Linked DNA regions of Lonchura striata. The protein of the gene in region 2 binds, or shares a complex with, the protein of the main gene of each other region. Links are inferred from orthologs where the notes say so. Each region holds a gene or a part of one and is shown on either strand. Other genes may lie near its edges.

The links.
Region 1: the proteins of SRSF1 (region 2) and TNPO3 are in contact, whole or in part, in a crystal structure (PDB 4C0O), measured with the Homo sapiens proteins. The link is inferred for Lonchura striata from reciprocal best matches to the Homo sapiens genes SRSF1 and TNPO3. Residues at the interface, in NP_008855.1 of Homo sapiens: Ser116, Arg117, Arg118, Ser133, Trp134, Gln135, Lys138, Asp139, Arg142, Glu143, Gly145, Asp146, Cys148, Tyr149, Ala150, Asp151, Val152, Tyr153, Arg154, Val172, Arg173, Asp176, Asn177, Arg181, His183, Tyr189, Ile190, Arg191, Arg198, Pro200; in NP_036602.1 of Homo sapiens: His155, Arg157, Arg160, Thr167, Tyr254, Ile256, Glu257, Glu304, Glu340, Ile341, Phe343, Asn344, Tyr347, Arg348, Glu351, His352, Lys355, Thr356, Arg620, Asn656, Glu660, Arg661, Arg664, Arg667, Phe668, Arg671, Ser698, Cys699, Tyr702, Ile706.
Region 3: SRSF1 (region 2) and PA2G4 share a complex: the UniProt entries of both Homo sapiens proteins name them as parts of the ribonucleoprotein complex. The link is inferred for Lonchura striata from reciprocal best matches to the Homo sapiens genes SRSF1 and PA2G4.
Region 4: SRSF1 (region 2) and ARVCF share a complex: the UniProt entries of both Homo sapiens proteins name them as parts of the ribonucleoprotein complex. The link is inferred for Lonchura striata from reciprocal best matches to the Homo sapiens genes SRSF1 and ARVCF.

What each region holds. Positions count from the first base shown.
Region 1 is NC_134607.1:73,051,125-73,058,341, forward strand, and holds the start of TNPO3 (transportin-3), read left to right. Parts: upstream 1-4,147; 5' UTR 4,148-4,192; coding exon 4,193-4,318; intron 4,319-7,217. UniProt on the Homo sapiens protein: Importin, which transports target proteins into the nucleus. Specifically mediates the nuclear import of splicing factor serine/arginine (SR) proteins, such as RBM4, SFRS1 and SFRS2, by recognizing phosphorylated SR domains.
Region 2 is NC_134622.1:10,652,152-10,659,156, forward strand, and holds SRSF1 (serine/arginine-rich splicing factor 1), read left to right. Parts: upstream 1-4,957; 5' UTR 4,958-5,094; coding exon 5,095-5,288; intron 5,289-5,454; coding exon 5,455-5,639; intron 5,640-5,846; coding exon 5,847-6,019; intron 6,020-6,274; coding exon 6,275-6,469; 3' UTR 6,470-6,487; downstream 6,488-7,005. UniProt on the Homo sapiens protein: Plays a role in preventing exon skipping, ensuring the accuracy of splicing and regulating alternative splicing.
Region 3 is NC_134629.1:9,434,100-9,442,209, forward strand, and holds the start of PA2G4 (proliferation-associated protein 2G4), read left to right. Parts: upstream 1-5,011; 5' UTR 5,012-5,163; coding exon 5,164-5,251; intron 5,252-8,110. Other genes in the region: ERBB3 (receptor tyrosine-protein kinase erbB-3), read left to right, coding at 1-3, 733-1,006, 2,544-3,070. UniProt on the Homo sapiens protein: May play a role in a ERBB3-regulated signal transduction pathway. Seems be involved in growth regulation. Acts a corepressor of the androgen receptor (AR) and is regulated by the ERBB3 ligand neuregulin-1/heregulin (HRG).
Region 4 is NC_134620.1:8,197,097-8,204,179, reverse strand, and holds the start of ARVCF (splicing regulator ARVCF), read left to right. Parts: upstream 1-3,946; 5' UTR 3,947-4,089; intron 4,090-4,216; exon of another isoform or gene 4,217-4,248; intron 4,249-4,331; exon of another isoform or gene 4,332-4,501; 5' UTR 4,502-4,553; intron 4,554-7,083. UniProt on the Homo sapiens protein: Contributes to the regulation of alternative splicing of pre-mRNAs.

The DNA.
Region 1 (7,217 bases), on a different chromosome or scaffold from region 2:
TGTCACCTGTCTGTGGTGCCCGGGAGCATCCCCGGTCACCTGCCTGCACCTCCTCTGCCACCTGCCAAGGGCTGTGCCCGGGCCCTGCCTGCACACCTGGGCCGTCCCTGCACACCCAGGGCATTCCCTGCACACCTGGGCTGTCCCTGCACACCTGGGCTGTCCCCTGCACACCTGGGCCATCCCTGCACACCTGGGCCATCCCTGCACACCTGGGCCATCCCTGCACACCTGGGACATCCTCTGCACACCTGGGCCACCCCTGCACACCTGGGACATCCCTGCACACCTGGGCATCCCCTGCACACCTGGGCTGTCCCCTGCACACCCAGGGCATCCCCTGCACACCTGGTCCATCCTCTGCACACCTGGGCCATCCCTGCACACCCAGGGCATCCCCTGCACACCTGGTCCATCCTCTGCACACCTGGGCCATCCCTGCACACCCAGGGCATCCCCTGCACACCTGGTCCATCCTCTGCACACCTGGGCCATCCCTGCACACCCAGGGCATCCCCTGCACACCTGGGCCATCCCTGCACACCTGGGCCATCCCTGCACACCCAGGGCATCCCCTGCACACCTGGGCCATCCCTGCACACCTGGGCTGTCCCCTGCACACCCAGGGCATCCCCTGCACACTGTACCTGCCCTGCTGGGCTGTGCACGGCCTGCCCATGCTGCCTGCACAGGTGTGGGCCCAGGGAGGGAGTGTGACCCTCCCTGCACACCTGGCAGGGGTGTCACATCCCTGTGCACACCTGGCAGGGGTGTCACACCCCTGTGCACACCTGGCAGGGGTGTGACCGCCTCCACGCACACCTGTGGCCGGTGTGAGGCTGGTCGGGATGCGGCCCCTCCTTGCACACTCGCGTGTCCCCGCTGAGCCACCGCCGTAATCCGCTTTGGGGACAAAGAGGATGAGCTGGGGGGAGGGGGAAGTGACACGGGGGCCACCGAGGGGGAGTGCGGGTGTGAAAATGAGGTGAGGGTGTGTGTGCAGGTGTGTGACCCAGCAGTGACACTGCAGCTGTAGAGGGACTGACCACGAATCATGGAGCTCAGGCCGGGCTGGGCTGGAAAAGACCAGGAGAGGAGCTTGTCCCACACACCTGCCACGGGCACCACCACGAGGGGACGCAGGGGCTGGCCCGGGCGGGGCACAGCGAGCACCGCTGGCCTCAGGAGCCACCTCATCATTACTCAACAGTGACTATGGGGGAAAGGAAATTAAAGGAGTTTTCCCCCAAAATCCATCTCAATCCAGTGCCCCTGCCTGCCGACACATCGGGTCTGACTGCCGGCATCACCTAACCAGGAGCTGAGATGAGGAACAAGGTGGGATCAAGGCCCCAGGAAACCCCCCCATCCCAAAATCCCATGGATTGAGATGAGGAACAAGGTGGGATCAAGGCCCCAGGAAACCCCCCCATCCCAAAATCCCATGGATTGAGATGAGGAACAAGGTGGGATCAAGGCCCCAGGAAACCCCCCCATCCCAAAATCCCATGGATTGAGATGAGGAACAAGGTGGGATCAAGGCCCCAGGAAACCCCCCCAATCCCAAAATCCCATCACAGCTGCAGATGGAGTTTTCTCCCCAGATGTGGGGGCTGGCAGAGCCCCCCTCAGTAGCTGCTCATGTCTATTGTAAATGCAGGTGACCCTGGTAGGAAGAAATTATTATGTTCAGAAGTCTGAATGATTTCTTTAGTATAACTATACTATAATACATTAATATACCATTTAAAGGAGACACTAAAACTACTTACTTTTTTTAACTGCTATATTTAACTAACTTACAACTCGTGCCCCTCTCTGAGTCCAGCCCCAGGTGGGTTGGATTGGCCATCAGGCTCAAACAATCCTCACCAAGCACTCACCCCAGGGAAACAATTCTCCAAGCACATTCCACATGGGAAAACAAGGAGCAGAAACAGAAATGGTTTTCTCTTTCTTCCCTCTGTGCGTCTCTGTAGAAATGCTGAGACAGAAGAAGGTGCCTGGCACACGCGGGTGTCCCCCCCGGCTGTGCCCACGGCGCCTGGCCCCGCGTGGGGCTGGCACTGTGGGGGAGGATTTTGGGGACGTTTGTCCCTGTGCAGGTCGGGCCGATGTCCCCCTGTCCCGCCCGAGGCCCCGTCCCACCCGCTCGCGCCGCGGTGGCTCCTCAGCCGATCCCAAAGTGCAAAAGGCAAACGGCAGGGGAACAGCGGGTTAACCACCACAAGTGCACCTTTACGGGGGGCCAGAACAGCAAATGCCACGGAGGGGACAGAAAAGGGAAATAAAGGACGGAGAGAAAGGGGGGAAGGGGACTAGAGCTACCACTGTCAGGACTAGATCCTCGACGGCCCAGCCACAAGGATTTGCCATCGTCCATGGCGGTGCACCGCAGTCTTCCCAAAAATTAATTTACACGGCCTTTGTCCAAAGCGAGTGGCGCCTGGCCCGGGGGGAGATCCCTGGGGCACTGTGAGGAGCCCGCTGGGCTGTGGAGCAGCTGGGGCACGCAGGACAGGAGCAGCCCTGCCTGCCACAGCTCTGGAACGCGGCGCCCTGTGGAGCACGGGCAGCGCCCTGCACACAGACCCAGCGAGGGTCCCCCTGCCCCCCGATCCTGGCACGGCTGCCCCGGGCTGCCTGCCTGGTGCCTTTCTCCCCGTTCTGCCCTGTTTGTGTGCAACAAAAAGCTTTGCACCTTTAAGGCTCGTTCCAGGAGTGAAGGGGGGGGGAAGGAGCGCAGTTTGTTTTCAAGAGCTGCACTCCCTCCTCCACATTCCTGCTCCTGGACTGAGTGTCTGCAGACAGACAGACAGCGAGACAGAGCTCTCCTTTGCTTTCCTAGCTAGCTTTAGCTAGCTGAGCAAAGCAGTTCCCTGGACTGGGCTGTTTTCCCTTTCTCTGGACTGAACACCAGCAGAGCAGCAGCAGCTCCGGGCCTGGGCCGTGGCATTTCCAGCTCTGCAGGGCCGGATCAGAGACTGAGTGAGCCCAGCTGCAGCCCGGGGGGTTTCTGAGCTTGTCTCTCTCTTGGAGTGGCAAGAAGTTTTATTGTTTAATATTGTTTAGGTTTGCTTGTTTAATAAACAGGTTTTTTCCACTTTTCTCCAAGGAGGTATCTTTCCTGTGAAAAACACCAATCACTTGGTTTTTTAAAATTTTAAAAGTTTAATAATAATAAAATGGTTATAAAAATAGTAATACAATTAGAGTAATAAAGTTTAGAGTTAGGACAATTACAAGACAATAAAAAGCAAAGAATTACAGACATCTGGATGCTCTCGGACACTAAGTCACAAAAAGCATGACTTGTGAACAAAGGAATAACCTTAAAAGCAATAACCTGTTACATATTCATATGTCCTTCATGGTTATGCATATATTCTATTTAAAACAAGAACTCTGTCTGTTGTATGTCAAGTGTTTCCTTTACTCCCCATGGTGTGTTCGAGTCTGAGTAATGCCTGAAGAAATTAGCTTCCTCTGATAAGAAAACCGTAAATTTCTCTTCTCTGGAAGATTTAGGTATTCCTTGAAGCGAGTATCTCATTCCTTAAAAAACCCCTTCACATAGCAGAGTTTCTATTTTAACATCGTGCTGGAACCTGAAACTGTATTTAACACACCGAATACAGCATCACTTTCTGACATGACACATACCATATTCGTTGTAGCATTTGCGAAAAGCCAATCATAAAATACGCATTTTTCACACTGGGGGTCTCTGGAGCCCTGGGGACAGCCCGGAGGTGCCGGGGGGTGCCGGGGGGTGTCGGGGGGTGTCGGGGGTGCCGGGGGGTGCCGGGCCCCACGCCCCGGTTTTTTTGGGGGGGTGGGGCACGGACCCTTCCCGCCGCGCCGGGTGCGCCCGGACACATTTGCCCGCTGCACCGCCGGAAGCTCGCGTTGGGCAGGGCGCGGGGGGGGCGGGGGTGGGACAAACCGTGGCGGGATGGAATGGAATAGGACGGGACGCGATGGAATGGAACGGAACGGGACGGGACGGGTTGGGATGGGATGCGATGCGATGCGATGAGGTGGAAGAGGCGGAACGGGGCGTAGCGGGCAGCGGCGAGGGCGGGCGGCGGAACGGAAGGACGCGGAACGGAAGGCGCAGGGGCGCGTTTCCGGGGGCCGGCCCGGCGCGGAGCGGCGATGGCGGCGGGCGGGCGGCGCTGAGGGACCGGCCATGGAGCGCGGGCCGGGCCGGCCCAGCCTGCAGCTCGTCCAGCAGGCCGTGCAGGCGCTCTACCACGACCCCGACCCCAGCGGCAAGGAGCGGGCGAGCTGCTGGCTGGGCGAGCTGCAGCGCTCGGTGAGAGCCGCGGGCGGCGGGTACCGGGCCCGGCTCGCGGGGAGGCCTCGGGCCCCATCCGGGTGGGGCGGGGCAGGGAACGGCGGCCCCTTGGCGGCCTCGGGGAGCCTCTGCCCCGCCGCCGCCGCTTCCCGCTGCTCTGCGGCTACCCCATTCCTGAGAGCGCTCTGCAGAGGGACCGGGACAAGGCCTGCAGGGACAGGACCCAGGGAATGGCTCCCACTGCCAGAGGGCAGCCATGGATGGGAGATTGGGAATGAGGAATTCCTGGCTGGGCTGGGATTGCCAGAGCAGCTGGGGCTGCCCCTGGATCCCTGGCAGTGCCCAAGGCCAGGCTGGACACTGGGGCTGGAGCAGCCTGGGGCAGTGGGAGGTGTCCCTGCCATGGCAGGGGTGGCACTGGAGGGGCTCTGGGCTCCCTTCCCACCCAAACTGTTCGCCGGTTCCGTGATTAGCACCAGGAACAAGGGGCTGGAACGTTTGGCACAGTGCTGAGGCAGCTGGGAAGGAGGAATTGGCTCCCGGAGGGAAATTTGGGCTTCTTCTGCCGGCCGGGTCAGATCCGTGAGGGGATGGAGCCGAGCCCTCAGGACACACCCCGGGTTTGGGGTGTTGGTCGGTGTTCTCCTGCTGGGGCTGCTCTGTCCCCCTGCCTCAGGGGTGGTGCTTCCCCGCCCGGAGCTGGGCAGTTCCCGCTGTGCTCCCCCTTTCCCCAGGGCCAGGATCCCTGCCCTGGGGCCGGGGAGGAGCTGTGTCCTGGCCCTGCCTGCTCTGGCTGACCCAGCTCTGCCCGGTTCCCTTCCAGCTCCAGCCCCTTCCCGCTCCCTGGCCAGGCTCGCCACTCTTTGTTCCCACAAACTCGTGTTTTCCCATTTCCCCCCGAATTCCTGCAGTGCTGCAGCTCCCATCAGAGTTCCCAAGGGACTGTCCACGGCTGGGTCTGGGGGCTCTGCTGCTGCTCCCCCCATTTCCCCGGGGCAGAAGCAAGATCTCGAGGCAGCTGGAGGAGGGGCATTCACATTTCAGGGCTGGGTCCTGTCCCGGGCCCCAGGATTGCTGTTGGGTAAAGAGGTGTTCCAGGTCAGGCTCCCCATCCCCTGCAGAGTTTGGGTTTTGGGGGCTGATCTGTATTCCCCAGTATCTGGGAATCTGGGGGGGTCTCTGCTGCAGTTCCTCGGGCTTTTCCCTGGGCTCTTTCTGATAGAACATTAGCAGTAATAACAGCAATAATAATAATAATAATAATAATAATAATAATAATAAAAACAGCAATAACAACGTTGTTACTGACTCAGCTCAGCCCCAGGGCAGCAGCAGTCCTGCCTCTCCCCTTCTGCTGGGTCATTCCCCCTGCTTCTCTCTGAGCTCTGAGCTGCTCCCAGAAGGAACCCCACTTATTCCTGGGGTGTTCAGGCCCAGCCTGGCTCCATCCAGCGCCTCCCTCTGCTCGGAGCTGCTGAGTTCCCCCAGCCCTGCACAACTGGAGCTCCCTGGTGTGGGCTGGCAGCGTGGGATGCTCCAGGGGACCCTGCCCGGCTTGGGGTCACGGTGACCCTGGTGGGACAGGAGTCACTGTGGCCCTGGTGGCCCTGGCTGGGTGCAGCTCTTTGTCCCTCAGTGTCCCCGTGCCCTGGTCTGGATGGAGGCACTGGCATTAACCCCCCAAGGAGTGTTTGCTTGGATCCCGTTCTGTGCCCAGCCGTGTCCCTGCAGTGCCACCCGTCACGGGCTGTTTGCTGGCACCCCTGGGCTGTCCATGCCCTGCTGGGCTGTGTCACGTTTGCCTCTGCTGGGACGAGCTCTCAGGGTAGGGTTCCCACTGGCTTTTGCCTTTCTGGGGTTGTAATCACAGAATCCTGGGATGGCTGGGTGGGAAGGGACCCCAGAGCCCCTCCAGTGCCACCCCTGCCACGGCAGGGACACCTCCCACTGCCCCAGGCTGCTCCAGCCCCAGTGTCCAGCCTGGCCTTGGGCACTTGTAGGGGCAGTTTGGCTGACTGGGAGTGGGGACAGGGAAATCCTGGGAGCAGGGAGATCCTATTTGGAACAGCGAGATCCTTGGCTGCAGGTGCAGTTTGGGTGACTGGGATCAGGGACAGGGAGATCCCAGGGTCAGGGAGATCTGGGAACCTGCAGATCTGTGGCTGTGGGTGCAGTTTGGGTGACTGGAATCAGGGACAGGGAGATCCCAGGAACAGGGAGATCTGGGAACCTGCAGATCTGTGGCTGTGGGTGCAGTTTGGGTGGCTGGGAGCGGCGCTGCCCCAGCCCTGTGGGCACAGCTGTGAGGAGCAGGTGAGCAGCACTGCCAGCTCTGAGCCGGGCAGTGCCCGGGGTGCTGAGCAGCACTGCCAGCTCTGAGCCACACAGTGCCAGGGGTGCTGAGCAGCACTGCCAACTCTGAGCCAGGCAGTGCCCAGGGGTGCTGAGCAGCCTCACAGGGAGCAGAGGGCACACAGGTGCACTGCATGAACATGGGGGGATAAAAGGGGGTGAAGAACAACAAGGGCACGTGCTTGGAGCCTTCTGAGGTGGTGTGGTGTCACTGTGTGGGTTGAAGCCGTCTGAAATTGTATCTGTGGGATACATCCCATCGTAGGGATGAGAAGGCAAAACCTGCAGTGGAGTTTGGGTGCCTGGATCACTCTGTGGGGGTTCAGGTTTGGCACTGGGCACCCCCAAACCTAAGGGAGATCCCTGCAGTTCCCATCCCTGGTATCTCTGGCAGGACGTGGGTTCAGGTTTGGCTCTGGAGGGCCCTGGGGGCTCAGGTGTGTCCCTCAGCTCCCCCAGCTGCCTCGTTCTGGCCTTTGCTGCTGGTTATTCCTGGGAAATGGGGCCGGACGTGGCAGAGCAGCTCCGAGCCTGCAGAGCACCGGGGAGCTCAGCTGAAGGTGCA
Region 2 (7,005 bases):
TTCTCACGTGTGTTTCAGAGGATAAAAATACTGCTTCTTGGAAAATGATCAAATTTGTATCCATCTTTCATGCTCTAAATGACACAGCTGGCAAAGGCCTGATATTCCTATTTACTGCCCTCAAGAAACTGCACCTAAAAGGCCTACTAGGAAAAGGAAAAAAAAGGGGTTATATTTCATGTTTTAGTTGGGCTACAGTGGTACAGCAAGTGCAGCATTATACATAAATCAAATGCATTTGCATTGCAGAGCAGAGCATGGAACAGCCGCTGCTGGGGCCCCGCTCCTAATTTCTGACACATCTTTTAACCTGCTCATTTAAAAGCACTTACTTTGCATCCTTCTCCTTAAGAATTAGTGGGATATGAACCATGAGGTTTCCTAGATTAGGAATGTCTGGATAATAAAATGCTGTGGAACAGGATTTCCAGTGGAAGCAGAATCCTTTCAGCAGTACCTGGGCACTGGGATCAGCAAACCTTGGCAGCTGATCCCACGCTGGCCCTTTTGTAAACATTGAGTTTATTTTTCCTCGTTTATTTGCCTTTCATTGAGCTCCAACAGGAAAAATATATGGCTCAGCGTCCCTCCCACCCTGGTCTCTGTGAGTTTTTGTTTCACATGGTTATCACAGTCCTTCGCCTCCTCCAGTGTTTACATAAAGTTACAGCGCCCACAAAACAGCTCCAAAAACTTTATTTGTATTTTAAAATAGTCTGCTTGAAACCAATCTTAATGCATTTCTCTCTCGTTGTAGTTCCTCGTGTTAAATAAAATCAGCAGACCCTCAGTGATGCCAGAGGGGCCGCGTGGTGCTGAAAGCCCCGAGTCGGGGAGGCAGCGGGGACATCGGCAGCGCTGCCAGCGGCTCTCCACGCAAAGCTAATGGAAAACCTTTTAAAAACCACCCAGGCCTGGCACATTTGGGTTCTTTCTGGAGAACCAAGAGATGCAGCTCTGTCCACGCTCCCAAGGCTTGGCTGGGTGGCACGGCCCGTCCAGAGACACCCCTGGGATGTGTCTGTGGCCCTGCGGTGTCCTGGCAGGGATGGTGACAGACGCCACACGCCAGATAAGAAGTGATCATCACCTCGAATTTACAAACAGCGTTTCAGTTCCCTGTGTCAGGATGGCACTGCCCACTCCCAGCTGGAGCACAAGAGCTGGGAAGGGAAGTGCCAGGAGGGGCCGGTGAGCTCCGCTGCCGGAGCTGTGCCGCTCCGGCCGCGGCTGCCCAGCGGATCCCGGCGTGGATGGCTCAGCCAGCTGTGTGCCACGCACCTGGAGTGTGGGAATGCCTCCAGCAGAAAGGAGCAAACTCCAGGAAAATAGCAACAGCAAAAGGAAAAGGAGCAGCTGCAGGAAAAGCCTCGCTGCCCAGTCCCCGCCAAACCGCGAGGTTCCCTCTGGAGTGAGCGACCCAAATGGATTCGCTCCTTTCCGCTTATTTATTCCTTAGCAGCAATGACTGTTAGCAGGTTTATTTACATTGACAGCTTGCATTTATTTTCCTCCCTCTCCTCGTCAGGCCTTGGAGCATCCCACCAGGCAGGGAGAGGGAAGAGCAATGCAAGCAGCTGCCACAATATTCGGTGACAGTGGGAGGCAGGGAGCAATGGCAGAGCTCTGGATAAACAGAAATGTCTTCCCAGAGAAATAAATCCATGAAAATGGACTGGGGGGGCTCACTGAAAATTCTGGTCTGTGCTAACTGCTGCCCCTTTCCCTCCCAGCCCCAGCCATGGTGTGCTGGCATGTGGGAATCACTGCAAATCCAAGTAACGTGAAAACAAGACAGCAGAAATCACAGCAAACCAAACAATTTTATTATTTTTAATATTTAAAAATTAACCTTTTATTGCTACCAGCCCAACAAATAAACACGTACAATTTAACTGATTCTGCTTCCCTGTGCCCCCTCACTGTGCTCCAGGGACCTGGGATCTGAGCACATCATGGGGTGTGGCTGTTCTCAGAAAGGAAAAACAGCAGGGTTTTGGAAATTTAAAAAATGAGCATTCCCAATCCCCCTGGGACGATTTGAATTGTGGTGGTGCTACCTCTGCTCGTCTGGCTTTTCTCCTTTAAGTCCCCACCTGTGTGTGTCCTTTTGGGCTGGCTTCCAGGAAAAATTCCCACTGGCAGTGTGCTGTGTTTTCTGTTTGCATCCAGACATGCCCCAGCATGTGCAGAGGAAATCTCTTTGCTTGCAGTTAAATCTGCATAAATAAAACAAGCTGTCACCATCCACTGCTGTGGGAATTATTTTCAAGCTTACACACACTTTCCTTGTCTTATCTTAAGCTCAGAGTTTCTCTGAAAAAGTCAGACTGGTATTTTTGGATTTTTTTTTTTTTTTTCCTACATGCAAAACAGTAAGTTTGATCACCTGGAAGCACTGTTTAAAATGGACACACACACACACACACACCCCCAAAGTATCAGCTTTGTATTTCACTCCAAAGGCACAACCTGTGTGGTTTCAAGTTCCTGGTGCAATGCCAAGGAAACCCCTCCAGCAGCAGATTCCAAAGGACAGTTACCAGAGGGAAATTACAAGTTTGGACAGTTCATTGCTCAGATCTCAAAAAAAAAAAAAAAAAAAATTACTTCAGATGCCTCTTAAAAACCGACCCTTTTCTCCCAGACAATCTGGGCTTTGATGAACTGTTATTTTGCAACACAGTAAGATTAGTCAGGACTAATCCAGCTGGATGCTCTGTAGCAAGGATTAGGACAAACAGGTTCTGTGTGACAGAGCTGGGCGATGACAGGCCACAGCCCCAGCCCTGCAGCTCTGCCTGGGAAACCTCCTGCCTCCCAAGTTTCAGCAGGAATAACAATAAGCAATGATGTTATGTGCCTAATATCTGCATTATTCTCCCTTGGAAAGCCCTCGTTTCCATTGCTCCCATTTTGAGGACAAAAACTTGTCATTTTTGAGTAGTTGGCTTCTTTTTTTCAGCAAGATTATTTGCCTTGCCTTCCCAGTAATTTATTTTCTACATAACTTATTAATTCCCCACATATGTGTTTTGCTAGAGAGCCAAAACTGACTCTGAGAAATAAGTATTGTGCAGCATCTCCAACTGAACACTCCAGTGATAACACAGACCTAAGGAAAGTGATGAGGAAGAAAACATCTAATACTGCTATAAAGAGACACTTCATTAAGGTAATTAAGAGAATCATTTAGAGCAGTTATGAGGATTATTAAGACACAAAAGAAATTATGCAATGGGGTTTACACAAAGCAGGCAGAGTTACCATTGGTTCATGATGCCTTTAAGAATAACTTTCAGTGGTTTTAATGAGTTTTTGAAAACAGAGACTCATTTCTTGGCAAGGGATGGAGTTTCCCTACACCTGGGAAAAGCATAATCAGGATCTTTGTGGGGTTGTTTTTTGGTGGCAAGAGGACTTGTTAGGTTTTTTTAATATCACAAAAAGGTTTGGGCTGGGAGGGGCCTTAAAGCTCATCCATGCCATGGCAGGGACACCTCCCACTGTCCCAGGCTGCTCCAAGCCCATCCAGCCTGGCCTGGGGCACTGCCAGGGATCACAGAATCCCTGAATCGTAGTTTGGAAAAGACCTCCAAGACCACTGAGTCCAATCCTGGGCCCATCACCACTGAGTGCCAGTCCTGCCACTCCTTGGGCACCTCCAGGCATGGGAACTCCATGAAGTGTTTCTGGTGAGCTGGCAAATAACCAAACAGCTTGTTAAATTGTGAGCAGCTTGTTCAATCTTCAAAGCCCATTATCTGCCCCAAATCACCCCCTGAGGTTACACAGATTCACGACAGGCGTTGTGCCCCACTGCAGAGAGAACTGTGAAACCTCAGACTCTGTCACAGATGCAGAACATGGCCAGGCAGTCGGGAATTTACCCTTTGCCCTTGTGAAGATGGGCTCTCCCACCCTTGGCAATCCAACATGGACATTTCTCCTTAAAAACCTTGGGGCAGAGACATGCTGCCCTATTGTAAGTGCAGGTGAACCCACTGGGAAAAAATGCTGATGTCTGCCTCCAGTTCAGAGCGCTGAATGATTTCTTTATTATAACTATACTACAATACATTAATATACTATTTAAAGGAGATACTAAAACTACAAACCTACTTTTTCTAAGTCCCATATAACTCACTCATAACTCGTGCCCCTCTCTGAGAGCCCAGCCCCAGGTGGGTTGGATTGGCCATCAGGCTCAAACAATCCTCACCTGAATCAAACCAATCACCCCAGGTAAACAATTCTCCAAACACATTCCACCTGGGAAAAACAAGGAGCAGAAATAGAAATTGTTTTCTCTCTCTTTCCTCTGTGCTCCCCTATGAAAAATCCTGGGAGAGAGAAGAATGTGCCTGTAACACTGCCCTTCCACTTCGGGGGACAGAGCTGGGCACAGAACCGGGCACGGCGGGAACAGAAGTGGGGACAGAGCCGGGCACACAGGCGGGCACAGCACAGAGCAGAGCCGGGCTCGCAGCCGGGCACAGGGCAGAGGCAGAGCCGGGCTCGCAGCCGCGGCCATGAGGGCAGAGCGGGCCCCGCCGCGCCGCGGTGCATTGTGGGCCGCGCCCGCTCTTGGCGCCAAGCGCGCCCGCCGTCCCGCGCGGTGCATTCTGGGCCGCGCCCTCCCCGGCCGGGCCTAAAGGCGCGGGGAGCCGCACCGGACGTGACGCCAGCGGCCTCCGCCGTTTGAGCCGCTACCGGGAGGAGCGTCTTTTATATGCCGCGGGGACCGCAGTCTCCGCACGGTATAACGGAACTCCCGCAGCCTCGAGACCCCCGTACGGACTCGGCTTCTCCGCGGCGGCAAGAACCGAGGGACTACTTTGTGGCGGAACCGCGCATGCGCGCGGCGGGAGGCTGAGGGCGCGGCGGAAGACGCGCGCGCGCTCCGCTGAGCCGCCGTTGCTGCGGGCGGTGCTGCGGCCGGTGGTGCGGCCCGCGGTGGGATCGGTGCGCGCAGAGGCCGCGCGAGCGGAGGCGCGGGCGCCATTTTGGAGCGGCGCTCGGCGGTGAGGTGAGGCGGAGCGCCCCGAGAGCCCGGCCCGGCCCCGCACCGCCGCCAACATTGCCGACCTCGCCATGTCCGGCGGCGGCGTCATCCGCGGCCCGGCCGGCAACAACGACTGCCGCATCTACGTGGGGAACCTGCCCCCCGACATCCGCACCAAGGACATCGAGGACGTGTTTTACAAGTACGGCGCCATCCGCGACATCGACTTGAAGAACCGCCGCGGGGGCCCGCCCTTCGCTTTCGTCGAGTTCGAGGACCCCAGGTGAGCCCCCTCCGGCGCTGCGCTGGCCCCCCGGGCTGCCCGGAGCCCCCCGGGAGCAGCGGGCCGCGGTGGCGGGGCCCGGCGGGGAGCGGCGGGCGGGCGGCGCGAACAAAGGCGGGCGGGGGTGCGGCGGCCGCGCTCACCGCCCGCCCCGTGCCGCCCGCAGGGACGCGGAGGACGCCGTCTACGGGCGGGACGGCTACGACTACGATGGGTATCGCCTCCGCGTGGAGTTCCCTCGGAGCGGCCGCGGCACCGGCAGAGGCGGCGGGGGCGGCGGGGGCGGAGGAGCCCCCCGGGGCAGGTACGGCCCGCCGTCCCGGCGCTCGGAGTACAGAGTGATCGTCTCGGGTGAGTCATTGCTCTCTCTTTCTCTCTTAGCGTAAGCGCTCCCCCGGGGTCCTGCAGGCGCGGTGCTGCTGCCAGCATCTCCTTAAAAAGCATGGCCCCGTGTGCTTTGGTGTCCCCGCGATGCTGAGCGCTCCTCTGCTCTGCTGCTGCAGTACAGGAGGTGAGGCTCTAATCCGGTTTTAAAGTCACGTTTTGGTTTTTCCCTAGGGCTGCCTCCAAGTGGAAGTTGGCAGGATTTAAAGGATCACATGCGTGAAGCAGGTGATGTATGTTATGCTGATGTTTTCCGAGATGGCACTGGTGTCGTGGAGTTTGTGCGGAAGGAAGACATGACCTACGCTGTGCGAAAGCTGGATAACACTAAATTTAGATCTCACGAGGTAGGTATCACACTTATTCTCTTTGGCCAGAATTGGATACAAGGGGCTTAACAGTAGGATTTGAAGGTAAGGAACGCGTGGTGGTCGCTGTTTGGTTAGGAGGCAGCTAAGTGAGTGTGTGGTCAGGCCGGACATAGACGTGTAAGCTCTGCTGTGTGTCCCGGCCATAGTAGCACTGTCTGCAGTCTGTCAGCATGCCTGAAACATGGCCCTGAAGCCTCGACGTGTCAATCGAAAGTTCTGTCTATCCAATAGGGAGAAACTGCCTACATCCGTGTTAAAGTTGATGGCCCAAGAAGCCCAAGCTATGGAAGATCTCGGTCCCGCAGCCGTAGTCGTAGCAGGAGCCGTAGTCGCAGCAACAGCAGAAGCCGCAGTTATTCCCCAAGAAGAAGCAGAGGATCTCCACGCTACTCTCCCCGCCACAGCAGATCCCGATCTCGTACATAAACATCACTCTAGCTCTGATCTTTTTGTAGAACCCCATGTTGTACACAGTTTTCCTTTACTTAGTACAGTCTTTCATTTTTTTTTTCAAATTCCAACTGTTTTACTCGAATTGGCTGAAGTGTTGAATTGCATTCTTGTGTAAAATCCCTAGTGAGTATTTGCTCCTGGACACCGACATTCCCCTCCTGTCTTTGGTAAATTGTATTTTAATTGCTGTCAGTCAGGATTGTTCTGGTTTAGTTCTAGTTCGATACCAACATTCTTGGAGCCGTGGTATTGCTGTGTAAATGTCTCAGTGTTCCGCTGTGGTCGAGACGAGCTGGGGATGTTGGGATGTTTGTGGCTAACTTGTCTCTTCTGGGGGATCTTACATTTTATCTTGCCTTTTCGTGTGTCTTTCTGTAGACATATCTGAAGAGATGGATTAAGAATGCTTTGGATTAAAGGATTGTGGAGCACATGTCAATCATTTTAGGATTGTCAAAAGGAGGATTGAGGAGGATCAGATCAATAATGGAGGCAATGGTATGACTCCA
Region 3 (8,110 bases), on a different chromosome or scaffold from region 2:
CAGGTACGGGGGGCTCGGGGGGCTCGGGGGGCTCGGGGGGATCGGGGGGATCTGGGGGATCGGGGGGATCTGGGGGGCTCGGGGGGATCGGGGGGATCTGGGGGATCTGGGGGATCTGGGGGGATCGGGGGGATCGGGGGGCTCGGGGGGCTCGGGGGGATCTGGGGGGATCGGGGGGATCGGGGGGATCTGGGGGGCTCAGGGCAGGTTTGGGGTGTCCCCCCTCACCATCCCCCTGCTGTCCTCAGGCTGGGGGGTCCCAGGGTGGGTTCGGGGTCCCATGACCAGTTCGGGGTCCCGGGGCGGGTTCGGGGTCCTGGAGCCGGTTGGGGTCCCGGGGCCGGTTGGGGTCCCGGGGCCGGTTGGGGGTCCCGCGGTGAACTCGGGGTCCCGGGGCCGGTTGGGGTCCCGGGGCCGGTTGGGGGTCCCTGGACAGGTTCGGGGTCCCGGGGCCGGTTGGGGTCCCGGGGCCGGTTGGGGTCCCGGGGCCGGTTGGGGGTCCCGGGGCCGGTTGGGGGTCCCGCGGTGAACTCGGGGTCCCGCGGTGAACTCGGGGTCCCGGGGCCGGTTGGGGGTCCCGGGGCCGGTTGGGGTCCCGGGGCCGGTTGGGGGTCCCGCGGTGAACTCGGGGTCCCGGGGCCGGTTGGGGTCCCGGGGCCGGTTGGGGTCCGGGGCCGGTTGGGGGTCCGGGGCCGGTTGGGGGTCCCGCGGTGAACTCGGGGTGTCCCCCAGCCCGGGGGCTCGCGGCCGCCGCGGCGGGGCCGGCAGGACTCGCTGGGCCGGTCGGTGTCGGAGTCGTCCGAGGGTCGCGGCGCCGGCTCGGAACCGGAGCCGGGCGCGGGGGGCGGCCCGGCCGGGAGCCTCGGGCGCGGCCGCCGCCCGCGGGGGGACGGCGCCGGCCCGGGGCACCGGGAGAGCCGCGCCCCGCCGGCCCCGCCGCCGCCCGGCTCCCCGGGCAGCGAGGAGGACCCCGACGGATACGTGACCCCCACCTGCGCCCTCCGCGGTGAGGGGGCCCGGGGGTCCCATCGCGATGGGAGTGGGGGCTCCCCCTGTCCTGGGGGTCCCTGTGGGGCTGGAATGGGGCTGGGGGTCTTGGGGAGGGGGTTTCCATCCCATTTGAACGGGTTTTGGGGCTCCCCCTGTCCTGGGGGTCCCTGTGGGGCTGGAATGGGGCTGGGGGTCTTGGGGAGGGGGTTTCCATCTCATTGGGTCGGGTTTTGGGGCTCCCCCTGTCCTGGGGGTCTCTGTGGGGCTGGAATGGGGCTGGGGGTCTTGGGGAGGGGGTTTCCATCCCATTGGGTCGGGTTTTGGGGCTCCCCCTGTCCATGGGGGTCCTTGTGGGGGTCCCATCGCGATGGGATGGCAGTGGGGGTCTTGGGGAGGGGGTCTCTATCTCATTTGAACGGGTTTTGGAGCTCCCCCTGTCCTGGGGGTCCCTGTGGGGGTCTCATCCCGCTGGAATGGGGCTGGGGGTCTTGGGGAGGGGGTTTCCATCCCATTGGGTCGGGTTTTGGGGCTCCCCCTGTCTTGGGGGTCCCTTTGGGGGTCCCATCCCTCCAGGGTTTTGGGTTGGGGTCTCTTGTGGCTCTGGGGGCGGTCCATCCTATTTTTGGGGTGGGGTCCATCCCCTGTTTCTGGGGGGGGTCCCATCCTGCAGAGTTTGGGGGGGTTCATGTGTCTCTGGGGGGGGGTCCATCCCCTGTTTTTGGGGTCCCATCCCGCACGGTTTGGAGGTTTCTGTGGGGTTCCATCCTGTTTTTTGGGTGGGGGTCCCATCCTGCAGATTTTGGGCGATTCATGTATCTTTGGGGGGGTCCACCCCTATTTTTGGGGTGGGGGTCCCATCCTGCAGAGTTTGAGGGGTTCATGTGTTTCTGGGGGGGTCCATCCCCTCTTTTTGGGGTGGGGGTCCACCCCGTTTTTGGGGTGGGGTCCATGCCCTGTTTTTTGGGGTGGGGGTCCACGCCGTTTTTGGGGTGGGGGCCCACCCCGTTTTTGGGGTGGAGGTCCACCCCGTTTTTGGGGTGGGGTCCATGCCCTGTTTTTTGGGGTGGGAGTCCACTCCGTTTTTGGGGTGGGGGTCCATCCCGTTTTTGGGGTGGGGGTCCATGCCCTGTTTTTTGGGGTGGGGGTCCACCCCGTTTTTGGGGTGGGGGTCCATCCCGTTTTTGGGGTGGGGTCCATCCCCTGTTTTTGGGGGGGGTCCCATCCTGCAGAGTTTGGGGGGTTCATGTGTCTCTGGGGGGGTCCATCCCCTCTTTTTGGGGTGGGGGTCCACCCCGTTTTTGGGGTGGGGTCCATGCCTTGTTTTTTGGGGTGGGGTCCATGCCCTGTTTTTTGGGGTGGGGGTCCACCCCGTTTTTGGGGTGGGGGTCCACCCCGTTTTTGGGGTGTTGGGTGCACCCCCTGTTTCTGCGGTAATTCCGGGGCTGCTCTTTCCTCATTTCGCCCTGCTCTGAGCCCAGCCGAGCCCCCCCAAACCCCTCTGGCACCCCTGGGGACCCCTGCCCGGTGCGTGACCCCCTCCCCACCCCCGGCAGACCCCGCCGCGGGCTCGGTACCGGCACCGGCGGAGGAGGAAGAGGAGGAGGAGGAGGAAGAATACGAATACATGAACCGACAACGGGGGGGATCCCGGGGACCCCCCCAACCCCGCCCGGCCTCGCTGGAAGAACTCGGCTACGAATACATGGAGGTGAGCCCCGAGCCGGGGGGACCCCCGGGAGCCCCCCAGCCGGGGGGACCCCGCCAGGAGGATGATGAAGATGAGGAAGAAAACTACGAGTACATGAACGAACAACCGCGGCTCAGCCGCTCGCTGTGCGCCGTGCCGGGAGCCCCGGGCCACGACGGCTACACCGAGATGAGAGCGGCCGAGACCCCCGCGACCCCCGGCGGGGCCGAGCAGGGCTACGAGGAGATGGAGGCGGTGGCGCGGCCCCGCCGCTGCCGCGGGGCCCCGGCCATGAAGGCGCTGCGGAGCCTGGAAGCGTCGGACTGCGCCTTCGACAACCCCGACTACTGGCACAGCCGCCTCTTCGCCAAAAGCGATGCCCGGCGGACGTAGGGGACCCCCTTGAGACCCCCGAACGCCCCCCTGCATGCGAGACCCTCCCCCAAATTCCGGGGGTTCCCATCGGATGTGAAGGATCCCCCCCGGGTGGGGTTTCAGCGCCTTTTCGGTCTCTTCTCGCTTTGATTTTTGATTTTTTGGGGTTTTTTTTAGGGGCGGGGATTGAGGCTGAGCACGCCCAGGTGGGGAGGGGGCAGCGGAGACCCCCGGGATTCCCCTCCCATCTTGATTTACCCCCTTGAGACCCCCGAAACGTCCCCCTCCATCCGAGACCCTCCCCCAAATTCGGGGGGTTCCCATCGGATGCGAAGGATCCCCCCCGGGTGGGGTTTGAGTCCTTTTTCCGTCTCTCCTCGCTTTGATTTTTGATTTTTTTTTGGGTATTTTTGTTTTTTAGTTTTATTTTGGGGGGGTCTCGAGCACGCCCAGGTGGGGAGGGGGCAGAGGAGACCCCCGGGATCCCCCTCCCATCGTTGATTTCCGCCCTTGAGACCCCCGAACGCCCCCCTCCATCCGAGACCCTCCCCCAAATTCCGGGGGTTCCCATCGGATGTGAAGGATCCCCCCCGGGTGGGGTTTCAGCGCCTTTTCGGTCTCTCCTCACTTTGATTTTTTTGGGGTATTTTGTTTTTTCGTTTTATTTTGGGGGGGTCTCGAGCACGCCCAGGTGGGGAGGGGGCAGCGGAGACCCCCGGGATTCCCCTCCCATCTTGATTTAAGCCCCCGAGACCCCCCAAAACCCCCCCAAATTCGGGGGGTTCCCATCGGATATGAAGGATCCCCCCAGGTGGGGTTTCAGCGCTTTTTTGGCTTCTCCTCGCTTTGATTTTTTTGGGTTTTTTTTTGGATTTTTTGGGTTTTTTTTTAGGGATGGGGGGGTGAGACTGAGCACGCCCAGGTGGGGAGGGGGCAGCGGAGACTCCCAGGATCCCCCTCCCATCGTTGATTCCTCCCCCCCCATTCACTGAAGGTGCTCCCCAAATTTTTGGGGGTCCCTTGGGGGTCCCTGGCCCCACCCGCGGGTGCCGGACGGGATTTCTGAAGGACCCCCGACTCATTTCCAGGCTCCCCATTCCCTGCTGAGTGAAGGTTTTGGGGTGTCCCACCCACGAGGGACCCCCGGGATCCCCTTTTGGGGTGTCCCCCTCCCCTGACGTCACCCGGGGTCCCGTTTTTGGGGTGTTTCTCCCGGTTTTTCGGGGGTTTCCCGGTTTTGGGGGGGGGGGTTGGAACCCCCGTTCAGGGATCGCCCCCGGTCCCGGGGGGGGGTCGCGCGTGATGGAAATAAATGAAAATAAAAGAATTTAGTTAAAACCTCGGAGGGGCTGGACCGGGGACACCGGGGGGACACCGGGGGGGACACCAGGACCGGGCTCCGGGACACCGGCAGCCGCCGGTACCGGTACCGGTGCTTGGGGGGGGGTCACGGGGGTCGAGGGGAGCACCGGACCGGGGTGTCCGGTGGTGTTGGGACCGTGGGGGTGATGCCGGTGGGTGGCTCCGGTGTCACGGTCCGGGAACACCGGGGACCGAGAGCGGGGACCGGCCCCGGTGTGGCCGCGGTGCCGGTGCTGGGGTTGGGGGGGGTTGAATGGGACGGGCGCGGCGGGGCTGGGGGCTGTGAGTGGGAGCGTTGCTGCAGGGTTGAGCCCAGGAACGTGGCGAGGAAGCGCTGGCAGAGGGAGGAGCAGAACGACCGGTCCCGGCGGCGTCCCGGCACCGAAATTCCGCACCGGCACTTCCGCCTACAACCCCCATCGCCCCCCGCGCGCCGCTTCCGCTCTCACCCCCCCACCCCTTCTCGCGAGAGCCGCGCTGCACGCCGGGAGTTGCAGTCCGCAGCGCGAGGGTGGGCGCGGCGCAGCGCGCTCCCGTCCGGGGGCTGGGTTTGCCCGCGGGGGGTGATGGGAGTTGTAGTCCAGGGGGGCGTGGAGGCCTGGCGTTCCCAGCGTGCCCCGCGCGGAGCCCGCGCTCTGCCCTGCTCGCGCCTCCGGTCTCGCGGTCCCGGGGCTCCCTCAGCACCGGGGGGGGGGGGCGGCTCCAGCAGGCCCGGGGGGGCACCGGGAGGGCTCCGGGGGGCTCCCACCATGTCGGGAGAGGAGGAGGCCGCCGAGCTCACCATCGCCGAGGACCTGGTGGTGACCAAGTACAAGATGGGGGGGGACATCGCCAACCGTGAGTGCGGGCCGCGGTCGGTGCGGGGGGGGGGGGGGAACGGCGGGGGGGGGGGGGGGGGGGGAGCGGGTGGGACCGGGCGACCCCCGCCGGTGGGAGAGCCCCGGGTTCGGGGGTCCGGTGGGCTGTTCGGGGCTGGGACCCCCCCGCGTGTCCCGGTGGGACCCCCCCGGGGCTCGGTGCCCTCCCGGTGCCGGCGGGGCCCGGCCCCGCGCCGCCGCCGCCGCCGCCGCCCGCACGTGGTACCGCGCCCCACGTGCACCGGCGGCGCGGGGAGCGGGGCCGGGCCGGGCCTGCCGTGCCCCGGACCCTCCCGGTGCCGCTTTTGTTCCGGTGGGACCCCCCCACGGACCGGGGCTCCTCTCCGGTCCCGGTTAGCGCCGGGACGGGATGGGAGCGGGACGGGAGTCCCGGGGGGGCGGCCCTGGCTGGGTTTGGGGGGTGGGGGCTGACCCGGGAACGGGGTCCGGTTCTGGGGACGGGGTCCGGTTCTGGGAATGGGGTCCGGTACTGGGGATGGGGTCCGGTACTGGGAATGGGGTCCGGTTCTGGGAACGGGGTCCGGTTCTGGGAATGGGGTCCGGTACTGGGAACGGGGTCCGGTATTGGGAACGGGATCCTGTCCCAGGAACGGGGTCCGGTTCTGGGGATGGGGTCCGGTTCTGGGGATGGGGTCCGGTTCTGGGAATTGGGGTCCGGTATTGGGAATGGGGTCCGGTACTGGGAATGGGGTCCGGTACTGGGAATGGGGTCCGGTACTGGGAATGGGGTCCGGTATTGGGAATGGGGTCCGGTATTGGGAATGGGGTCCGGTACTGGGAATGGGGTCCGGTTCTGGGAATTGCGGTCCGGTTCTGGGAACGGGATCCTGTCCCGGGAACGGGGTCCGGTTCTGGGGACGGGGTCCGGTTCTGGGAATGGGGTCCCGAACCGGTCTGGGGATCCTGTCCCGGGAACGGGGATCCTGTCCCGGTCAGGTTGTGGATCCTGTCCCGGGCGCGGGGTCCGGTACCGGGAACAGGGTCCGGTCCCGGTCCCGGGGCTCCTGTCCCGGTCAGGTTGTGGGTTCGGTACCGGGCACGGGTCCGGTCCCGGGGCTCCTGTCCCGGTCAGGTTGTGGGTTCGGTACCGGGCACGGGTCCGGTCCCGGTCCCGGTCCCGGTCCCGGTCCCGGGGCTCCTGTCCCGGTCCAGGACATGGATCCAGTCCAGGGCACGGGTCCGGTCCCGGTCCCGGGGCTCCTGTCCCGGTCAGGTTGTGGGTTCGGTACCGGGCACGGGTCCGGTCCCGGTCCCGGGGCTCCTGTCCCGGTCAGGTTGTGGATCCTGTCCCGGGCACGGGTCCGGTCCCGGTCCCGGGGCTCCAGCCGCCCCGCTCCCTCCCTTTCCCGTTCTTTCCCCTCGCTGCCGGTGTCCCGGCTCCGGGAAGCCGCCCGGACCGGTTCCGCGGGGCTCCCCGGTGTCCCACGCCGCTTCCCGCTGACTCCAGCGCTTCTGTGGAACCGGCGCCGGTGGCCCGGGAGGGGATTCGGGGATTGCGGAGCCGGGATTCCCTTCGGGCTCCCGGGAGAACTGGAAACTCGGCCGCCTCCCTTCCCGGGGGCAACGGCAGCTCCGCTCCACGGAGCAAAACCCGGCCAAAAACCGGTTTTTTAGGGGTAAAAATCGGTTTTTTAGGGTTAAAATTCGGTTTTCTAGGGATAAAAATCGTTTTTTTTAGGGATAAAAAGTGCCTTAACTCCCTAAAAAACATGGGGAAGGAGGGAGGGATTCCAGGAATGTTCCTGTTCCTCTGATCTCTTGGAATGCTCCGAGGGTTTTCCACCTTTATCTGCTTTTATTTTATTTTTTTTTAATTTATGTTTTATTCCCCGCTCCGTGTGCCGCCGCCTCTTATCGGGAATGTTATCCGTGCTTTCAAATGTTCCCAACTTTCCCGTGGAAAAAGGGGCTGGAATTTGAAGGCCTCGCACAGGTGACAGGGCCGCAGAATTCCCGAGGATTCCTTGGAATCCTGAGGAAGGTGGGACAGAGGGGAACAGAGGGGACATTCCAGGATCCCGGGATATTTTGGGGTCACATCCCGGGATTTTTCGGGATCCCATCCCAGGATATTTTGGGATCCCATTCCAGGATATTTCGGGATCCCATTCCAGGATATTTTGGGATCCCATCCTGGGATCCCATTGAAGGATCCCAGGATATTTTGGGGACCTCATTCCAGAATATTTTGGGATCCCATCCCAGAATCCCAGGATATTTTGGGATCCCATTCCAGGATATTTTGGGATCCCATTCCAGGATATTTTGGGATCCCATCCCAGGATATTTTGGGATCCCATCCCAGGATATTTTGGGATCCCATCCCAGGATATTTTGGGATCCCATTCCAGGATATTTTGGGATCCCATTCCAGGATATTTTGGGATCCCATTCCAGGATATTTTGGGATCCCATCCCAGGATATTTTGGGATCCTATCCCAGAATCCCAGGATATTTTGTGATCCCATCCCAGATCCCAGAATATTTTGGAATCCCAGAATATTTCAGGATCCCATCCCAGCATCCCAGGATATTTTGGGATCCCATCCCAGAATATTTCAGGATCCCATCCCAGATCCCAGAATATTTTGGGATCCCATCCCAGAATATTTCAGGATCCCATCCCAGCATCCCAGGATATTTTGGGATCCCATCCCAGGATATTTTGTGATCCCATCCCAGATCCCAGAATATTTTGGAATCCCAGAATATTTCAGGATCCCATCCCAGCATCCCAGGATATTTTGGGGTCCCATTCCAGAATATTTTAGGATCTCATCCCAGCATCCCGGGATATTTCGGGATCCCATTCCAGGA
Region 4 (7,083 bases), on a different chromosome or scaffold from region 2:
GGGACCGACACCCAGCCTTCCCCCTGTGCCCCGGCACCAGCACCGAGCCCTTCCCTGTGCCCCGGGACCCGACACCGAGCCCTCCCCTGTGCCCCGGCACCGGCACCGAGCCCTCCCTGTGCCCCGGGCCCGGCACCGAGCCCTCCCTGTGCCCCGGGATCGGCACCGAGCCCTCCCTGTGCCCCGGGATCGGCACCGAGCCCTCCCCTGTGCCCCGGGATCGGCACCGAGCCCTCCCTGTGCCCCGGGACCGACACCGAGCCCTCCCTGTGCCCCGGGGCCCAGCACCGAACCTTTCCCTGTGCCCCGGGATCGGCACCGAGCCCTCCCTGTGCCCCGGGCCCGGCACCGAGCTCTCCCTGTGCCCCGGGATCGGCACCGAGCCCTCCCCTGTGCCCCGGGCCCGGCACCGAGCCCTCCCTGTGCCCCGGGACCGGCACCGAGCCCTCCCTGTGCCCCGGGACCGGCACCGAGCCCTCCCCTGTGCCCCGGGATCGGCACCGAGCCCTCCCTGTGCCCCGGGACCTCCTTGGGCTGTGCGCGGGGCCGGTGCGGCACCGCCCGGCATCCCCCAGAGCATTGGGATGTCATCTCCCAGCCCCTGAGCTTCGTCTTGGCTGCCTCAGCCTGCTGCCAGCCCATCTGGTTTCATGCTGAGACGAGAAATTCGGGTAGTAGTAAAATGCTTTTCACTGTTAGGGTGGTCAGGTGTTGGAACAGGTTGCCCAGAGAAGTGGCAGAGCTGCCATCCTTGGAGGTCTTTAAGTCTGGTAATGTGGTTTAGTGGTTTATAGATGTTACAGTGTTTAATGAGGTTGGACTTCATGATCTTTAAGGTCTCTCCTCACCTTGCAGATTCTATGGAGAAATAAAAACATTACATGCCTGATCTGAGCTTCACAGTGCTCATAGCTCTGAGGACAAACAGACCCAAGGCTGCTGACAATCTCAGAGGGTTTGGATGCAGCTCCTGACCCCTCAGAACAAGGCCCTGTGTGGGATAATGTTCCCCTGACCACCTTCAGCAGAGACTCTGCTTCCAGGAGGGCCCCCAAAGTCACTGAGCCCTGAGTTTGCAATGGGATGAATTCCAGCCAGAACAGCTTTCCTGAGAATTGAGGAAAACACAAGTGACAACATCAAATTTGCTTTCAGTTATTAGCACAGCATGATCAGAACTGATAACCAAACATTTAGTAATTTTACCTAGATCTGCAGATTTGGGTTAGGATTGGAGCTGTGTCACCTTTTTGTTCTACTGAAATATTAATATTATTTCATTTTTCAAACAAAACCTCAAACTTTATTTATTACTTTTTTTTTCATGGGTGGCAATAGAGGGATTCAGTGGAGCCTGTAAATTACAAAATGTTTTATAGTGAAGCCTGTAAGGAAACACCATAAAAGCCTGAAGTGTTCTTCCAAGTTCTAACACTGATAAACACAATACACACAAGATGTGAAACAGTAATTAAAAGAATTCCCAGGGGTATATAGATGTGTTAGGTGGCTTGTCAGGCAAAACCTTTTATCCTGGATACAGAAAACCTGAAGTCAATTGTCAGGTTTAGCACTGCTCGGGCATATGACATTGAGCAAGTTCACCTCAATGCTTTCCTTCTCCATCATCAACAATAGGATGATCACATTGACCTTTGCAAGGTCTCCTGAGATCTACTGATGAAAATTACTGGGTGAGTGTATGATCATCATTCTTTGTACTACTGCTTCTGAAACACAATAGATTGCAGTTATTACCTTGAGACATACAAACCTAGAATGTATTAATGTTTTCAGGTACAGAGTTGTTATTTAAAGCAGTTATCTGGTGACTAAATAGATAAATTATACAAATCTCTGTAACACTGAAATTGGTTAAATGCATGCACATTAAATATAATGTATTGTACTTTCTGGCACTCTGAGTCTTGAAGTATAGATTCATCACTGTAACCAAAGATCATTTAGCTTCTATGCTTGATTCTAATTTAAAATCTACAGATGGTAATCTGCATACCTTCAACAGCAGTCACATCTGTGGGAGGAAAAAAGTGTCCATAGGCTTAAAATTCAATTCTGTTTTTTACTGGATTTTTTTCTATTTTTAATACATATGGGAAGTAAGAATAAGTTCAGAGTCATTTAAAAAGCCTTTTAGGAGGCTGCACAAAAAGAGTCCACTGCAAGAATTTGTGAATAATGGATTTGGTGGCCATTTTGACTCTTCCTTTTATTCTTGTGTCTACCTTTTGTTCTGCCAAAACTAGCTTGGTTATTGTTGCCCCTTCTAGACCTTGTCCTAGGGGATCAGTGTATAGCTCCCATTATTTGTCAAACTCAAATAGACTGATCCCAAAGCAGGCTCTGCTTCTGTATCCACTTTAAGAGAGTGGTACTGTCAGGGCAGAACCTCTCTTGGAAAAAGCTAAAATACAAGCAGAAGCTTAATTAAGGGCTTGTAGAATTGTCCTGAGTTGGTTTCAAAGACTAAAAGAGAACTAGTCCTGACATTTGTTTAAAGAGTTTGTTCTTTGAGTCCTGGAATGCACATTATTTCGAATGCATAAAGCACACTTTAGATAGATTAAATATCTTTTCCCTGAGAGGTCTCAAAAAGCAGCTTTAAAGAGGAGACATCAGGGACCCTGACAATTTTCTAGAGATGGGTTCTTGCCCATATCTAGTTTAATACCTCCACCAATTGTCTAGATGATGCAAAATATTTATTAGGAAATTTTGTAGCCTAATAAATTAGTGGGTAAGTCACAATTGTCTACAAAAATCATCTGATGTGTCCAATAAATCATCCCAGTCCAGTAAATTGCATTTTTAATAGCATAAAATGTAAGGAAATACATCTGGAAATAAAGAATGCAGAGAAGGGGTTAGAATGGCAAAAAGTACCTCAAAAAAGAATTTAGTTGTTATTATTTCAGTGTGACCTCTCAGGATAATACTGTGGTAAAATGGACTACTCTAACTATTTACTGTATAAAATACAGAATATATAAGGGAAACAGGGAGCGACACTGTCTTTGTCCACAGCACAGGGACATTGCTGCACCATTTCTGACACCCACGGTTAGGGAGGGAGGAAAACCACAGGAAATTATTAAAAGGAGGAACATAAATTAAACCACGATATAAAATAGAGGCGTAGGAAGCTCAAGCTATTCCGGTTACCGAAGGCTAAGCTGAGAGGCGACGACGGCAGCGCACAGACCACTGCAAACGGCGAGAAGGTCAAGTCAGACAAATCCCTGCGGATCGCGTGCCAGCATTACCTGGCTGGCTGCACCTGACGGGCCTCTGCCACAGCATTTCAGCCACCAGCTGGGCCCGCCGCCCCGGGCGAAGAGCTGTGCCGGGCGGCGTTCACTGCCGAGCGCGGGAACCGTGCTGCCGCGCAGCGGGGCGGGGGCGCGTCCCGGTGACCGCGCGGTCCGCGCCGCTCCCGCGGAGCGCACGCCGCCGGCGCGCCGCTCTCCCGCCCCGCGGGGGCCGCCCCTCCCGCCGCCCGCCGGGGGCGGGGCCGCCGCATGTGACGGACAGGTCGGCGGGCCAATGGCGCGTGGCGCGGCCGGCAGCGCGCGGCGGCGGGGCGGGGCCGCGCCAATGGCGCTCCGGTTGCCGGGCGCGATCGCAGCGGCGCCGCCCAATGGGAAAATTCGCGGCGCGGGAGGCGCGCGCTGGTTCGCGTGCGGCGCGCGACGGTCGGCGGCGCGGGCGCGCGGCGCGCGGCCCCTCACGCCTCCCGCGTTCCTGCTCCCAGGTGCGAGTGTTGAGGAATGTGCCCCGCTTGGAAAAATAAATAAAGAAATAGAGAGATGGGCGGGCGGTGGCATCATGGGCTGGCCGGGCAGTGCGCTCCCGTTTCCCCGCGGGCCGCTCCGGTTGTTTTCCGAGCAGTAGTTTGGGGAGGGAGCGCGTTTTCCAGCCGTGCCCTTGGACCTTTTTACTTCAGGAGCACCGTCAGCGGCCAAGCCGGAGTGCGGGAGCGGGGACCCCGTGGGCCCGATGGTAACGAGCCCATGTGCTCTGTAGAAAAGGGGAATTCCCCTGTGTGCTCCAAAAATCACAGCAGAAAAGGTATATGCAAGAAAAGGGTTAATGAGTATTTCCACCTCCCCCTCCTTCCTCCCCCACCCCCCGTTGGATAAAGATGGTCTTGGATACCCTTTGTAAATAGGAATGTGGAGGTGGGAGGGGAAAATCAGCCCGGCTCCGACTACTCGGCGGCCTCGGTGGGTGAGCGGGCGGGAGGAGCTGGTGCAGCCCGGGCGCTCTCCCGGGGAACGCGCGGGGGACGGACGGGCACCCGCGGGGCGGGCGCGGCGGAGCGGCTCCTGCGCGGGCGGCGGGAGAGGAAGACAAGGGCTGACATGCTGCCCAGCGCCTGCCCAGCGCTGTATTGAAGAGTTGGGGGGGTTGCCCCTTTTTATTTTTTTTTAAACATTTTTTTTTTTTTTTTTTTTTTTTTTTGTGCGCCACCTCCTTGAAGCCACTAGCAGCAAGGAAAATAAGCTGAGGACAGAGAAATAAAGACGGAGATGGTGAGCAGATCGCTGGGTTGGGGGGGAATGAATGAGGTTGCCGGGCTATTTTCTGTGAGGTTCTTGCACGGTGTAGTACGTTTTGGGGTGATTTTGCATCACGATTCCGTGCTAGACTTCTTTGTTTGCTAAAGGCTGCTGGTTCAGGTTTAACAGCGTTCATCAGTTTATTGTGAGATGCGCAACGAGGAGTTGATGTATGCGAATGCCTGAATTACATACGCAAGCCACACACACAAGCAAGCCCTAAACAAACCAACATTGTAATAATCCTGCAATATGATGGGCAGCTCGTGTCATGGAGGGAAGTCATTGCTCAGGTTATTTGTGGTATGCATAGGAGATGAATCTCTTTGTAGCAAAGACCAAACAAAATTAACCTATTTTTTCACACACGCGATATCCATTACACACTTAAGAGCCAGAGTTAGGGGTTATTTTTTAATTTTCGCTTTCCCTGCAGTATTGAGGTCCACGGTTAAAATCTGACGTTTGTAGAAGTTGAAAAACTCTTTGAAATGTTCACTTCTAGTGAATATGAAATAGTAAAGACTGTCTTTCGTGTTTTTTCCCTTTTTTCATGAAGGCACTTGTTCGTGTGTGAAAGGGGGAATTCTTAAAACACGCACTTTGCTTGTTACGCTGTACTGTTGTGCCTTTAGGTAGGTCACAATGCAAAACGTGATTCATAGCATGTTAAAAAAAATAACTCTAAGTTGTTTGTTTTTTTTTTTTATCAAGTGAAGACCTGTTATCGTTCCAATAGCTTAAACCCTAAATACAAGTTTTGCGGGGGGAGGCGGGAAACAGCCCTCCTGATTTGTATTAATGGAAATGCTTTATGTTAAAAAATCCTGCTTCTAAATGACAGAATATAGACATTGCCTGATTGTAACTTCCTGTGGATAAGGTACTGCAATCTGCTGAATACAGTAGTCCTTTAAGGCTCCATAAATTTAGACATATTTTGTTTACAAAATTGTGTAGCACTGCATGGTGCAATAGTAAAATCTGAAATTTTAGTGATTTTAGAAGTGTAGCAAGGCACTGCAAAAGAGAAAATATGCAGCCTCGTATTAAATCTCCTATGGAAGAAAAGGAAAAGGTTTGTTTGTAATACAGGGTATGCACAGCAACTAAAGTAACTGCAGGGGCTGTAGAGTTTGGAGTTTGTATAGAAAAAATAACTTGTGAACTATGCTGGGGTCTTCATCCTGCAAGGTATTTGGATGGATGATTCTTAAATTTATTTTAAGCAGCATCTCTGTCAGTTCTTCTCTGAAATATTTAAATTATATGCTCTATTAGGCAAATGGGTTTATCTTCCATTGCTTGGTTAAAGGAATGCATTTGGAAGGCAGGAACAATAGTTTAACTGCGTGGTTCATCCTTGTGCATTGTTCAGAGATCACAGTTTGCATTTTATTTGACATTGGTGATTTTTATAAAGTGGACTTTTTTATTTTATTATTATGCCATAGTTGCTGTCAAATAACTGAATTTCAATTTATAGTTTTGATGTACTATTTGGCCAAAATAGATGAAAAATAGTTCCCTTCTTTGAATTTTGTCTATTAAATTCAAAATCTCTGCAGTTGATTTCAGTATTAGAAAGTTTTTAATATTGGAAGAACCAACAAGAGCCACAAATAGAGGGAGTTTCCCATTTTGAGTTAGGACACTGTACTAGAAATGGCAAAATTCCTGCCATTTGCTTCTACTTCAAATTTTGTACAAACTGTAGTTTAGTTTAGATATCTTGTCCTGAAGACCATCTGTATGCATATTACAGTTATATAAAACTAAGCTTTTATACTTGATTTTATGTAATGCAACACATTATATCTGCAGTGCTTTTGGTGGATCTTGAGTACTGTCAGAATTGATACACTGCAAGAAAAACCTGTTAGAATTCTTGTGCTACCAAGTTTATAGTTTGTCGGTCTTAATATTTTATTGTGTGAGTATAAATCATTGACACAGACATTGTAAACAAATGCTGTAGCAGCTGAGTATGATTTTACATTTGGCTTGTGTCTTTCCAGTTTAACCAGAGTATGACAGTATTCTGTCAGGTGTGGTGCCATCCTAATAGCCATCATAGTTAACCTTCAAAGCACTTTGGTAAATTTTTTCAATTTCTTGTCTGTCTTTACAAAATAAAGAGGAAAAGGCCAACTCTAGGTTACACCAGTATAAGTAGGGAAGGAATTTCACATGTGTTGCATGCAGGTACCTTATTCAGACTTCCTGTGTATCTCTGGAAATTAGCAATGAGATTTTAAAGGTTAAAATCCACCTATTTGTAGAAAAAAGTTCTTTCCGATATGCAAGACATCTAGAGTACACATGTAACTTGACAAAATATATTTTCTTCACAGAAGGGCATTAGAGGTTTCATGTGTTTAAGCATTAAAATAAGAACAGGGAGATTTTCTTAAATTTCAGGTAGGATGTGGTCTACCTGTGAGCTGAAGCAAGGCAGTAACCACCTGAGCGTCTGAGAAAAGAAGCAATCAACTTAGATAAT